Cricetulus griseus: one gene and its partners. The protein of the gene in region 2 interacts with the protein of the main gene of each other region in a pairwise test. Links are inferred from orthologs where the notes say so. Each region holds a gene or a part of one and is shown on either strand. Other genes may lie near its edges.

Region 1 (3,500 bases), on a different chromosome or scaffold from region 2:
ATTAGCCCAGGGCCACTCTTTAGGAAGAGAATGTTGACAGTAGTTCCCCCTGCATGGTAGTGCATAGGGAAGAGAATCTGGTTGGTGACCTGGTAGCTGCTGTGGCTGGATGAGGCATGTCTTCTCTACACTGTCTCAGTGCAGGAGCAATTCACAGAAGGGCTTCCCCAGACCTTCCAGCTCCATACAACATCCCAGGGGAATGAAGTTACAATGCAAATTAACTGGATTCATCTCTCTTACTAAAAGACACTGGTTTTACTTTGGGGTTCAGGCAAAGGAGAAATGGTTGATTTTCAAGCAAATCAGATGGTACTAGGTTAATATTGGTGGGCTGGGGATACATTGGGTATCAGGAGACACATGACTAGATCTGATCCCTGAAGCAAGGGCATCACAGGGATGCACACAGGAACCAGGAGCAATTAAAGAAGCAGATTGGGCCCAAGAGGAAGCACTGCAATTCCAGACAAAGAGGCCCTCGCCTTTGTCCTGACTCCAGGTGCACCCCCGAATGGCTTACCTGCGGGCCAGGTGTCCTCTGTAGAACCTCTGCAGGGTTAAAGTAGCTGCCTTCAGTCTCCGATACTTCACCTTCTGCAGCCAGCCTCTGACAGTCTTCTGGATCATGACAGTGGCCTCCCGGAACTTGTCTGCCCGAAGCTTCTCCAGGTAAGCTACCTGGCCCGCCCGGAAGAAGATCTTGGTGCGGCCAAACTGGAACTTGTCTGGATCCTTTACAAGGTTGGGAGGGAGACTGGCTAGTTAGTGAATTCTGCAAAACACACTAGCCTTTCCTGCCAAGGCTTACCTACTTGCCAGATTGCGTGTGTACCCCCTGCCCCAGTAGACACACCTAGATTCTCAGTATTCATTAAACAGACTTGAATCTTCAAGGTAAGACAGACATGGATCCAGGATGTGGCCATTGAAAAGATACCTGCCCTCAAAAATCCAACATCATGGGGAGGGCAGATGGGAAAGTAAACAGAAGAGACTTTTTTTTTTTTTTTTGAGACAGGGTTTCTCTGTGTAGCTTTGGAGCCTATCCTGGTGCTCGTTCTGGAGACCAGGGTGGCCTCAAATTCACAGAGATCCGCCTGCCTCTGCCTCCCGAGTGCTGGGATTAAAGGCGTGTGCCACCAAGACCAGAAGAGTAGGGATTAGCAAGAAACAAAACAGGCAATGTTCAAAAGGGATGGTCCAGGCCAGTGGTTCTCAACCTTCCTGATGCTGTAACCCTCTAATAAGTTACTCATGTTGTGGTGATCACCAACCATAAAATTATTTTCACTACTAATTCATAACTGTAACTTTGCTATTGTTATGGGTTATATTGTAAATATCTGATATGCAGAATATTTGATATGTGACTCCCCCCAAAAAGGATTTAGGCTCCACAGTTTGAGAACCACTGATCTAGGCAGTTTTGTCTGTGGAGGTGAGCAAAGATCTGTGTGAGCCAAAGCAGGCAGCCATGGAAGGCAACCTGTGGCTCAGCCAAAGTCCTACTTAGTGGAAATGTTGTATCTGGAAGACATGGCCCAAGGAATGAGGGAAATGAGGAAGAAATGTAATGTCTTCCGGGGAAGTCTTGAAGCACAAGTAGTGGTATATCTCCTGGACAGACAACTGTGCACAGTGGCCCTAACCAGTCACCCCAGATCAGTAGGAACTGTGCATTTGAATGTCTGTGAAATCCTAAACAATTTACAGTCACTTCTTATACTTCTGTTTCCTCATCTGTGGATGGAAAGTTCTACTAATAACCTTGGAGGAATCCAGGTAAGGGTGAACTATGACTCAGGACAAAGTGGAAGGCAGTCACATGGTCATGGAATCTACTCACAGGCTTGGGGTATACACCAGGAGACCAGCCCTGGCAAGAAGAAGGGACGTGTTATATATTAACTGAACTCAGCTGACCTTGAACACATTTTTCTAACTGATGAAAAATGAGATGTCAAAACATGTACAGTGGTGATGGATGGACCACAGCAACACCATCAACCAGAGTCCATCAACCAAGCACAAGCTACAGTTAACCACACCACCACCCTCTCAGCACTGTCTTAGCTATCTAGCTTGCAAAAACATGTTTAATATAATTATCACGTTCTGAAAGATGCTTTCTATAGTTTAGCACCTTATGGAGACAGATTATTATACTTTGTTATAACCCTGGAACTCTCTAGAACTATTGAAATATTTAAGGATTTGACCCTCGAGGCTCCGCTCTTATAAGTTTTCAGCCTCAATGTGATATTTTTGGGTTGTTTCATTTAAAACAAGTTTTCAAAGGCCTGATAATCTGTTGTTTTATTTATAACAAGCTGATGCTAGCTACAGATCAGACATCCACTGGGTACAATGGCCCTGAGAAGCCAGAGATGCTGAGATAGCAACAGTAGCAGCGGCTGCCACCATCAGGGGTTGCCTCCACACACACCCTAGTGACCTGTGCTCTCTCTGTGTGTGAGGTACAGGAAGGCAGAGCGCTCTAGGTAGGGGAGGGGACTCCCATTTCCCAGCCACTGTTGCAGGAAATGGCTTGATATCTTAAGTAGGTTTTCAGGATAAAGATAAAGCTGTAGGTAGGCGTTTGGTCCATGCCTTCCTCTAGCTGTATCACCTTGATGAGGCTCTCTAGGACAGATTTGCAGATACTCTTCTTGTCAGTGTTGGCAAGCTCTCTCTTCATCAACACGCGATACCGAATGAAGAAGTCATGGTAGGTCCACCTGGAGGCAAAAAGATGGTGAATCAGAAGGTGACCTCAGATGCTATCTCATGGAGTTGTGGCTGTTGTATAAGTTATTGTAGTAGCTTCAGACCAGTCCCAGTGGAGCTTTGTCCTTTCCATACCCTACTAGAAACTCCAGTGTATCAGGATTCCGAAGTTGGGTTGGGGAAATTGTGTGTTTGGAGGTACCTCTCATGGAGCCAGGGCCTCCGTCTGTTCACACCTATCTATTCTCTCATCTGTTGCCACCACTGAAGAATTTGGGCACCTTATGTAGACACAGCTTTGTCTATGTAGTTTGTTTTTCACCTTTGAGAACTCATACTGATCTTTGTAAACACATTTCTAAATGCAGGAAGTGTTTGAGAATGAACATGTCCCCATCACCATCTCTTATATCACTACTCTTAATTTGGAAGAGAAGAATAGGTCATCCTAGACATTTTTCCACTCCAGACTCCTTTTCACCTGATAAATTTTTACTGATCCCAAGGACATTGGTGTGTAAAATAGGTATACAAACCAAACATGTACTGAGAACAAATCAAAGAAATATGATGTGCCCATGGTTACAGTAGTGGCAGGAAAGTTAATGGGGCTAAATAACTACTTTCTGATTGGGTTTAAGGACTGGTCTACTAAAGGAAACACATGCTCAGTACTGGAATCTGGCCAAAATGTAAGGTTAGGGAGCTCATGGACTCCAGAGTGAACCCACTATTGTTAGTCTGTTAAATGGACATAGTATTATGCTGTT
Region 2 (4,061 bases):
ACACATTCAATGCCAAGCTATTTATAACAGCAAAAGGTCGAAAACAAGCAAGGAATGACCACAGATGCTCAATGTGTTGACTTGAAGGGAAAAGATTCCCTGTCCTGCCTGAAGCTTCCTCAGGGTAGGTTGTGTGGGGACAGGTCCTTGCCATTTTAGGGCCTGAGTCTGTTCCACCCATCACCAGAAAGCCCTTCAAATATTTGGTCTCCAAAAATCCTTCCAAATCATCCTCTGCCTCTAGAGTGATACCTGGAGCCTACACCTGCTAATCACTTACATCTGGACACAGCCCACTACCAGGCCATGGTGCTATGTGGTTAACTCTGCATCTTTGCAGACCTCTGTCTCTGCCTAGGAACCTTTTGTCACATGGCTATCCCTACTACCTCCACAAACCCAAGATGCCAAGGCTGGCTTTAAGCACCAGGACACACTCCCAGAAGGGCAACTGTGTGTCCCTTTAGTGCTCAGAAATTAGCTCAAAAGCAGCCACTGTCTGGTGGGGAGCCTAGCATAAACAGCACAGGACCAAAAAGCCCGCCTGGCATAGAAGGTGTCATCATGCCAGAGACCCCTAAATATGTTCATCAGAGAAATGAGGGACCCCAGTGACATGGGGGGTGAGGTAATATAGTATGTTTTATTAAAGCTTGCCTGAGGATTCAGAAAGCAAGTAAGCCTCAAGCTACCGAGATCAGGCAGTGGTGGTACACACCTTTTATCCCAGGACTCAGGAGACAAAGGCAGATGGATCTCCCTGAGTTCAAGGCCATCCAGGGCTACACGAGATTGAATCAGTCTAAAAGAGTAACAGAGCCAACACCTTTAATCCCAGGACTCATGAAAGGTTATTTAGACAGGAACAGGGTCTCAGAGCTGGCATTCATTCTCCAGCCACACTGAGGATAGGAAGACATTGGAGTCTAAAGATTCTCTAGCCTCTCGGAAGAGAGCAGAACAGTCTGGGATTTCAGTATGAGGTTTGGTGGAGCCAGGATTGCCTTTCAGCCTGAGCTATAAGAAAGAACTAATAGCCAGCTGCTTTGCTTTTCTGATCTTCAGCTTAAAGTTTGAACCCCAATATCAGTCTCTGGGTCTTTTATTGATCATGCTACAGGTAGGAAACTCTTCCAGTGGGTTGGATGTGTATGTGTTGAGGGGAGGTCTGACACCTGTTTGTTCCAGATCTAAGCTGCAAAACTTGCCCCAAAGCTCATACCCTAAGTGGCAAAAACTCCCTAAACTGTCCAGAGCTCAATCCTGCTCCTCCCTCAGGAACTTGTCTCTCTGAACTTCAGTTTCCTTCTTGTTTTGAGGACAGGATATGGCTATGTAACTGATGTTATCTTTAAAAATTTTTGTTGAGATAGGGTCTCACTTGGCATTCCACCACACCTAGAACTCTCTATGTAGACCAGGCTTGCCTGCCTTGAATTTCACAGAACTGTGTGTTTCAGCTCCCTCCTGAGTACTGGAACTTAAGGCAAGTGCCACCACAGTTGGCCAAATCACATTATTTATTCTGTGTGCTGTATGTGCGTGGGCTCATGTGACATGGACAGAGGACAACTTGCAGACTCTGTTCTACCATGTAGGCCCCAAGACTGAATTCACGTTATCAGGCTTGGCAGCACACACAAATACCTGTTGACCTATCTCATCACCCCCAGGTTGACTTTGAAATAGAAAAAGATCCTCCTGACTCCAACTCTGAGTAATGGGATTTCAGGTGTGCACCACTTACAAGCATGTTTCTTGGATAATATGGACTGTATAAACTGATAAAGAGGATTAAAAGGAGTCATTAATGTAAAGTCTCAGAACAGTGTATGTACTGGCCCAATGTCATCCACGTGTTTTTTTTTTTTCCTTTGAGTTCCAGTAATCCAGGCTGGCCTCTGCACTTCTGATCTTCCTACGTCTGCCTCCCAAGCGCAGACCACCCAACGCCTGCACCATCACACAAGGTTTATACGGTGCTGGCGATAAAGCCCGGGGCTTTGTGCCTGCTACTGCTAGGCAAGCTCTCTCTCTACCAACTGAACTACATCTCCATCATTTACTCAGAGTTTGAACTACCGCTGCACACACAGGCACCATCCCACCCAATTCCAAGGCACCACAATTTAGGGCTCCTGCACCACGTGACCCAGGCCCCACCCCCCCCAAAGGCAGGCCCCGCCCCTACCAGTCCAGGCCCAGCCCTAGAAGTCTCACACCAATCAGGCTTCCTGGGCACGCCCACAATGTTCTTCAACTGCCCTAACCCCATCTATAACCCCCCGCTGTCAACGCTTTCAACGCAGCCCGCCAGCCAAACCCAGGGAAGCCCCGCCCCTCATGGAGCCCCGCCCCAACGGCCTCGCCTTCCACTCCGGGCCCCACCCTCTCCAGGGCCCGGCCCCGCCCCGGTGCATCCGGGGTCCACAGGCCTCTCTAAGCCTCCCTCTTCTCACTGCTGCGGACTAGGGCCCGAAGCCTAGTGAGCTCGGCCTGCCGTGGCTTCCTCCGACTCTCTACCCGGGATAGGGCCCCGCTGAAGCCTGGGGCTCCACCCTGGACCCTCTCGCCCCGTACTGCGGCCTCGACCCTCCCGTCGCTACCGCGCCCTTGCCCGCCTGTACTCCACCGGGCGCACCTTTGAATAAGTAGTCGTACTCATCGTCCCGGGTCCCCATTGTCCTGGCGCTTCCGGCGGGATCGGCGACTCCGCAGCCCCACCACAAACACCCGACGGGGGCGGAACCGGCGCCGCGCAGAGCGGCGGTCCGACGACCAGTCAACGGCGAAAGCGGTAGTGACAGGCACCCGAGCAAGCCAATCAGACTTAGGAGCCGAGCTCAGGTGGGTGGGAGCCTCTTGGGATCCACCCTTCTAGCCCTCGGTCTCATGGAGAAAGGCGGAAGGAATGCGGACCTTTCCGAAGTGACAGGCTCAGGAGCCTATCAGAAGCAGAGGGGGGAAAGGCGGGGCGGAAGACTGGAACAATGAAGTGGATTGACAGAGGGCGTAACCAATGAGGGCCTGCATTCAGAATCGGCTTTCCCCGGACCTGTCGGGGAAGGGAAATTGAGCTCCCTCCAGGTGATGTTAAGGACTTTAACGTCCTAATGACATCATAGGTCAGTGCGTCTGCCCTGGCTTCTTACCCTAGCCCCATAAACGACCATTTCCGGGTGTGTGTGTGTGTGTATGACGACTGCGGGAACCTTCTCTGGGTGGTAGTCCCCCAATTCTTTGTTTAAACCTAAAGCTTATGTCAGTACCTCCCAAACAAATAGGGATCCTAGACTTCTTTATTTGCTCCTTTTCTCAACAAATTAAGTCTTCTGTTTTCTGCTTTTCATCAGTACTCACTTTTTTTTTTTTTTCTTTTTTAAAGACAGGTTCTCACTAAGTAAACCTGGTTGTACAGGAATTAGTGATGTGAATCAGACCACACCTGTCTGGTTTTCTTTTTTTGAGACAAGGCCTAATGTTACTCTGGCTGCCTTTAAATTTGCTATGTTATTTATGGATTACTTTGAACATTTTTTTCCCCTGCCTTATTTGGAGCACAAGGTCTCGACTGTGTAGCTTCAGCTTGTCTGGAACTTGCTGTGTAGAACTCAAGAGATCCACCTACCTCTGCCACACACAAATGTACTGGGATTAAAAGACATTTGCCACCACATCCTGACTTTGAATTTGTGATCCTCTTATACACTGGTAACTTAGAAGTTACCTCTCTGATCTCATTTTCTTTCTCTGCTCATGTGTTCCTGAGATTATGTGGATTGTTTCCTTAAACACATACACAATTAACAGTCTGCTTTGTGCCATGAAGTCTTTGTTTAACAAATATTCAGAGGCTGGGCAGAATACTAAGGGAAAGGAATGCAGCTTAATTGTATTTATTTTACATCTATGTATGTATGTATGTTTTGTTTGCATGTTGTGCACTCTGTGCATGCAGTTCCCCGTAGAGGCCAGCCCTGAGACTGAAGATACAGACAGTTGTGATCTGCCATGTGGGTGCTGGGAATCAAACCTGAATCCTGTGTAACAACAGCCAGTGA
Region 3 (3,500 bases), on a different chromosome or scaffold from region 2:
GTGCTCCTGAAATCCTAGGCGTGCCAGTTCACACACCAGTTTGATCACAATGTGTTGTGCTTTAAATTGACTCAGTTGTCTCAAAACCATGGGTCACAAAAGTCCAGGAGGTCTCTAAGTAAGTTTTACTTAGCATACTGGAAAAATAATTCACAATACATGATCTGTGTAGCCTCAAAAGCCCTGGTCTGGATGCTGCTTGAGAGATGATACTGGAGGAGAGGAATTCTAGACACTCTGCTGGCAACAGCCTCTCAAATTCCACCCACGCTAAAACTGCTGGCTGGAAACTTGGAACTGCAGCCTTTTTATTCAGTCCATTTCTATGCAACTGTTTTGCACTTTAACTAGATCCACCCATTAACTACAAATGTTTTAATTTACCGGAAGGATGACTGTGACACAGAAAGAGAAACTTCCAGGAATATGTGTTCTGTCCTCATATCTATAGCCTCAGAAACACAAAGAAAAATGTCTTAACTTTTTAATCTACTCTTTATATACTTGTAATCATAGAATTTATAACACAGGCCTAATTTTGATAAAAGTAGTGCTAATATTAAAGTAAAACATAATGAATCTGAAACCTACGAAGACCATGTTCTCTATTAAAGCCCATGGAAGCCCAAGGCATTGACAACTTGAGGACACTTATTTTTTCATATGATAACATAATTTTAAAACATTTTTCCAACTAGTTCCCTTTTTCTTGCTTTTCACTGTAAAATTACCTAGATTAGCCAATTTCTAAGTTATCTTGAATAATTGTATTCAACAATCTCCTGCAAAAAAGAAAAAAATGTTCAGAAAGGGGGTGGGGCATACTATTTATGCCTATGTTTAGGATTTGTTGAAATATTAATACATCAACTATCAGCATGTTAGAACTTCACATCAACACTGTGAACTCTTCAATGGACCACTGATAGCACAAAATAAAAATTTGTTTCTCTGAAATATAGTCTATACACATACAGAATGAATTTTTTTCTAAAACCACAGCAAATCCCCATCTAATAATTAAAGAAAACAAACTAACAAAAAATGAGCATGCCCCTCTGGCAATTTTAAGTGCAAGATTTTTTTTCTAACCTAGCATAGAAGATACACACACACACACACACACACACACACACACACACACACACACACACGAAGAGAGAGAGAGAGAGAGAGAGAGAGAGAGAGAGACAGAGACAGAGACAGAGACAGAGACAGAGACAGAGAGGAGGGAGTGAGTGGAGGGAGGGAGAGAGAGGCCCAAGTGCAAGGCCTACCCAAGTGGCTGCTGATGCTCCATCTTCTGTTTGTAGTGGGACAGAACAAAAAGCACTAATCTTAAAGAAAACAATACAGGATAATACATCAATCAAGACAGAGGTTATCTTTTCCTTACTGAAAACTCCTGGGACCCAACATGCTTTAGAGTTTGATTTGGGGAAGATTTCAGAATATATGCATAACTTTATATATAAAAAGCCAAAATTCAAAATGTTTCAAATCTGAAACTCCAGTGAGTTCCATCCATGATGAAAGCATTAACGCTGGTGCCATATTTCTATATAAAAGTGGGTCAGGTTTCAAATCAAGGATGCTCACCCTGAAGCAGTGACCATCTATCGGTCCCCTATTTGGTGCCTGGCTTTGTACTATGTACTCTATGCATTATTTACCCTCACTAAATCCTACAAAGTATTTTCTTTACCTCAAAAGATGTAGATGCTAAGATCTACAGAGGTCATAGCACTACAAAGCAAGGACTCCCGCTCAGGTCTATGTTCTGGACACTACAGCTGGAGGAAAAGCAGCCTTTGTGTGGCAAACACTGCCTCCACTGTGTTCTTCCACAATTACTTAAAAGTTTCAAGGTCATCTTCATCTTTGTTTTCGGTCCCTTCATCAGGCCCTCCGTCACTCACATCTGCAGAACCCCTGACTTTCAGATGCCATGGAGTAAGAAGCAGTACACGTGGAAGGACCCAGAGCTTTAAATCTCCCATCTTCTTCAGCTGATTACACCTATGGACACTTGTCATCCCAGGGCTCTGGTTAGTGTGTTCACAGTGCCCGCAAGGGTCACCAGACTCCAGAAAACACTCATGAATAAAAGAAATTTCTGAGCAGCCATTTCATAAGGAGAGTTAACATCGGTTATGACAACGTCAACACTCCAGCCGGCATTTGTAAAGAACAGTGTGTGACTGCTATTGGTTCACTAAAGCCCTCCAGCCACCCCATGACTTAATCTTGGGGAAGTACCTAGAAACACACTTCTGGATTGAATTTGTAACCATGGTTTATTCACTCTCACTGGGTCTCATCAGAAGCCATGTGGTTTTCTACAAGACCTATCTATAGTGGCTTCTAGGCTTCCCTAGGTAGGTACAGACTAGGGTTAAAAGGAAGACGACTTTGTTCTTCCAAGGCAAAACATTCAATTCCAAGGATATATGCAAGCAACAATGTTTAGGTCTGTAATGAATTCTTAGAAAAGAATTATGTAAAAAATGAATATAAAATATTCATGCATCTAAAAGAAATATTTGTTACTTTCAAGTACAAGGTTCCCCAAGTGGCGCACACACTCCTCCTTGTGAGCTTACCTTGAAGATGGCATTATAGTTGAAGCCCTGAATTTTGCTGTAAACGGATTGGTTGACTCGTAATCAAAATAGTCCTGCCGATTTTCATTAAACGCACTAGGTGATTTCAAGTCACAGGGGCTATCAGATCCCCCATTGTTAAGCTTCTCCGATCTTCTGCTGTCTTTCTTCCCGGTCACTCGTTCAAAAAGGCTCACTTTCTCTTTTTTCTCTCTCTTATTTTCTTTCCTTACTTCAATTGGTTTTGAAAATAAATGCATGCTGTTGTCCCACGACTCACTGCTTTCTTCAAATGGATTTCTCTTCCTTGGCAGTGTTGCAGATTTTTGGGGTAATGAAGCAGTCACATTCATAAACGGGTCACTCTGTCTTCCAAAAGAGCGTTCGCCTTCATCCACAATGCTGCCAGGCGGGTTCAGTTTGGAAGTGTCAAAGCTTAGTGTTCTTCTGTGTGGAGACTTGAGACTTCCTACAAACATTTTCCCCCATTAGTAGGTGATGGGTGACATAACGCTATTATACTATTTTTGTTGCTTCAGAATGAGAACAATTAGCTAAAGATATTAACCCTCAAAACAATCTTAAAATTAGGTAAGGGATATTGTGAAGCACATAGTGCACTGTGAGACAACTGGGTGTCTTAGTGGCTTAGAAACCATCACATGAGGAAAGTATAAGGTAAACCCAAAAGACCTGCTGTCAACTATCATGTTGGCAAGTCTTAGACTTTCCTCTGGATATAGATGTTCTCCCTAGGAACAGTTAGATGGGATGGAATATATGCTGCAGATTTTCTTGTTTTATTTTTTTGTGTGTGTGTGTACAACTGTGCCACCACCTGCCTTGCTTTTTGAATGTGGGTTTTGGGGATTGAACTCAGGTCCTCCAGCTTTCAAG

Evidence for each region.
Region 1: the proteins of Rab11b (region 2) and Myo5b interact in binary tests that used the Homo sapiens proteins (3 or more experiments, as listed by UniProt). The link is inferred for Cricetulus griseus from reciprocal best matches to the Homo sapiens genes RAB11B and MYO5B.
Region 3: the proteins of Rab11b (region 2) and Rab11fip2 interact in binary tests that used the Homo sapiens proteins (3 or more experiments, as listed by UniProt). The link is inferred for Cricetulus griseus from reciprocal best matches to the Homo sapiens genes RAB11B and RAB11FIP2.

What each region holds. Positions count from the first base shown.
Region 1 is NC_048595.1:165,196,904-165,200,403, forward strand, and holds part of Myo5b (unconventional myosin-Vb), read right to left. Parts: intron 2,742-3,500; coding exon 2,633-2,741; intron 736-2,632; coding exon 524-735; intron 1-523. UniProt on the Homo sapiens protein: May be involved in vesicular trafficking via its association with the CART complex. The CART complex is necessary for efficient transferrin receptor recycling but not for EGFR degradation.
Region 2 is NC_048598.1:95,215,531-95,219,591, reverse strand, and holds the start of Rab11b (ras-related protein Rab-11B), read right to left. Parts: upstream 2,801-4,061; 5' UTR 2,682-2,800; coding exon 2,642-2,681; intron 1-2,641. UniProt on the Homo sapiens protein: The small GTPases Rab are key regulators of intracellular membrane trafficking, from the formation of transport vesicles to their fusion with membranes.
Region 3 is NC_048596.1:1,380,620-1,384,119, reverse strand, and holds part of Rab11fip2 (rab11 family-interacting protein 2), read right to left. Parts: intron 3,073-3,500; coding exon 2,604-3,072; intron 1-2,603. UniProt on the Homo sapiens protein: A Rab11 effector binding preferentially phosphatidylinositol 3,4,5-trisphosphate (PtdInsP3) and phosphatidic acid (PA) and acting in the regulation of the transport of vesicles from the endosomal recycling compartment (ERC) to the plasma membrane.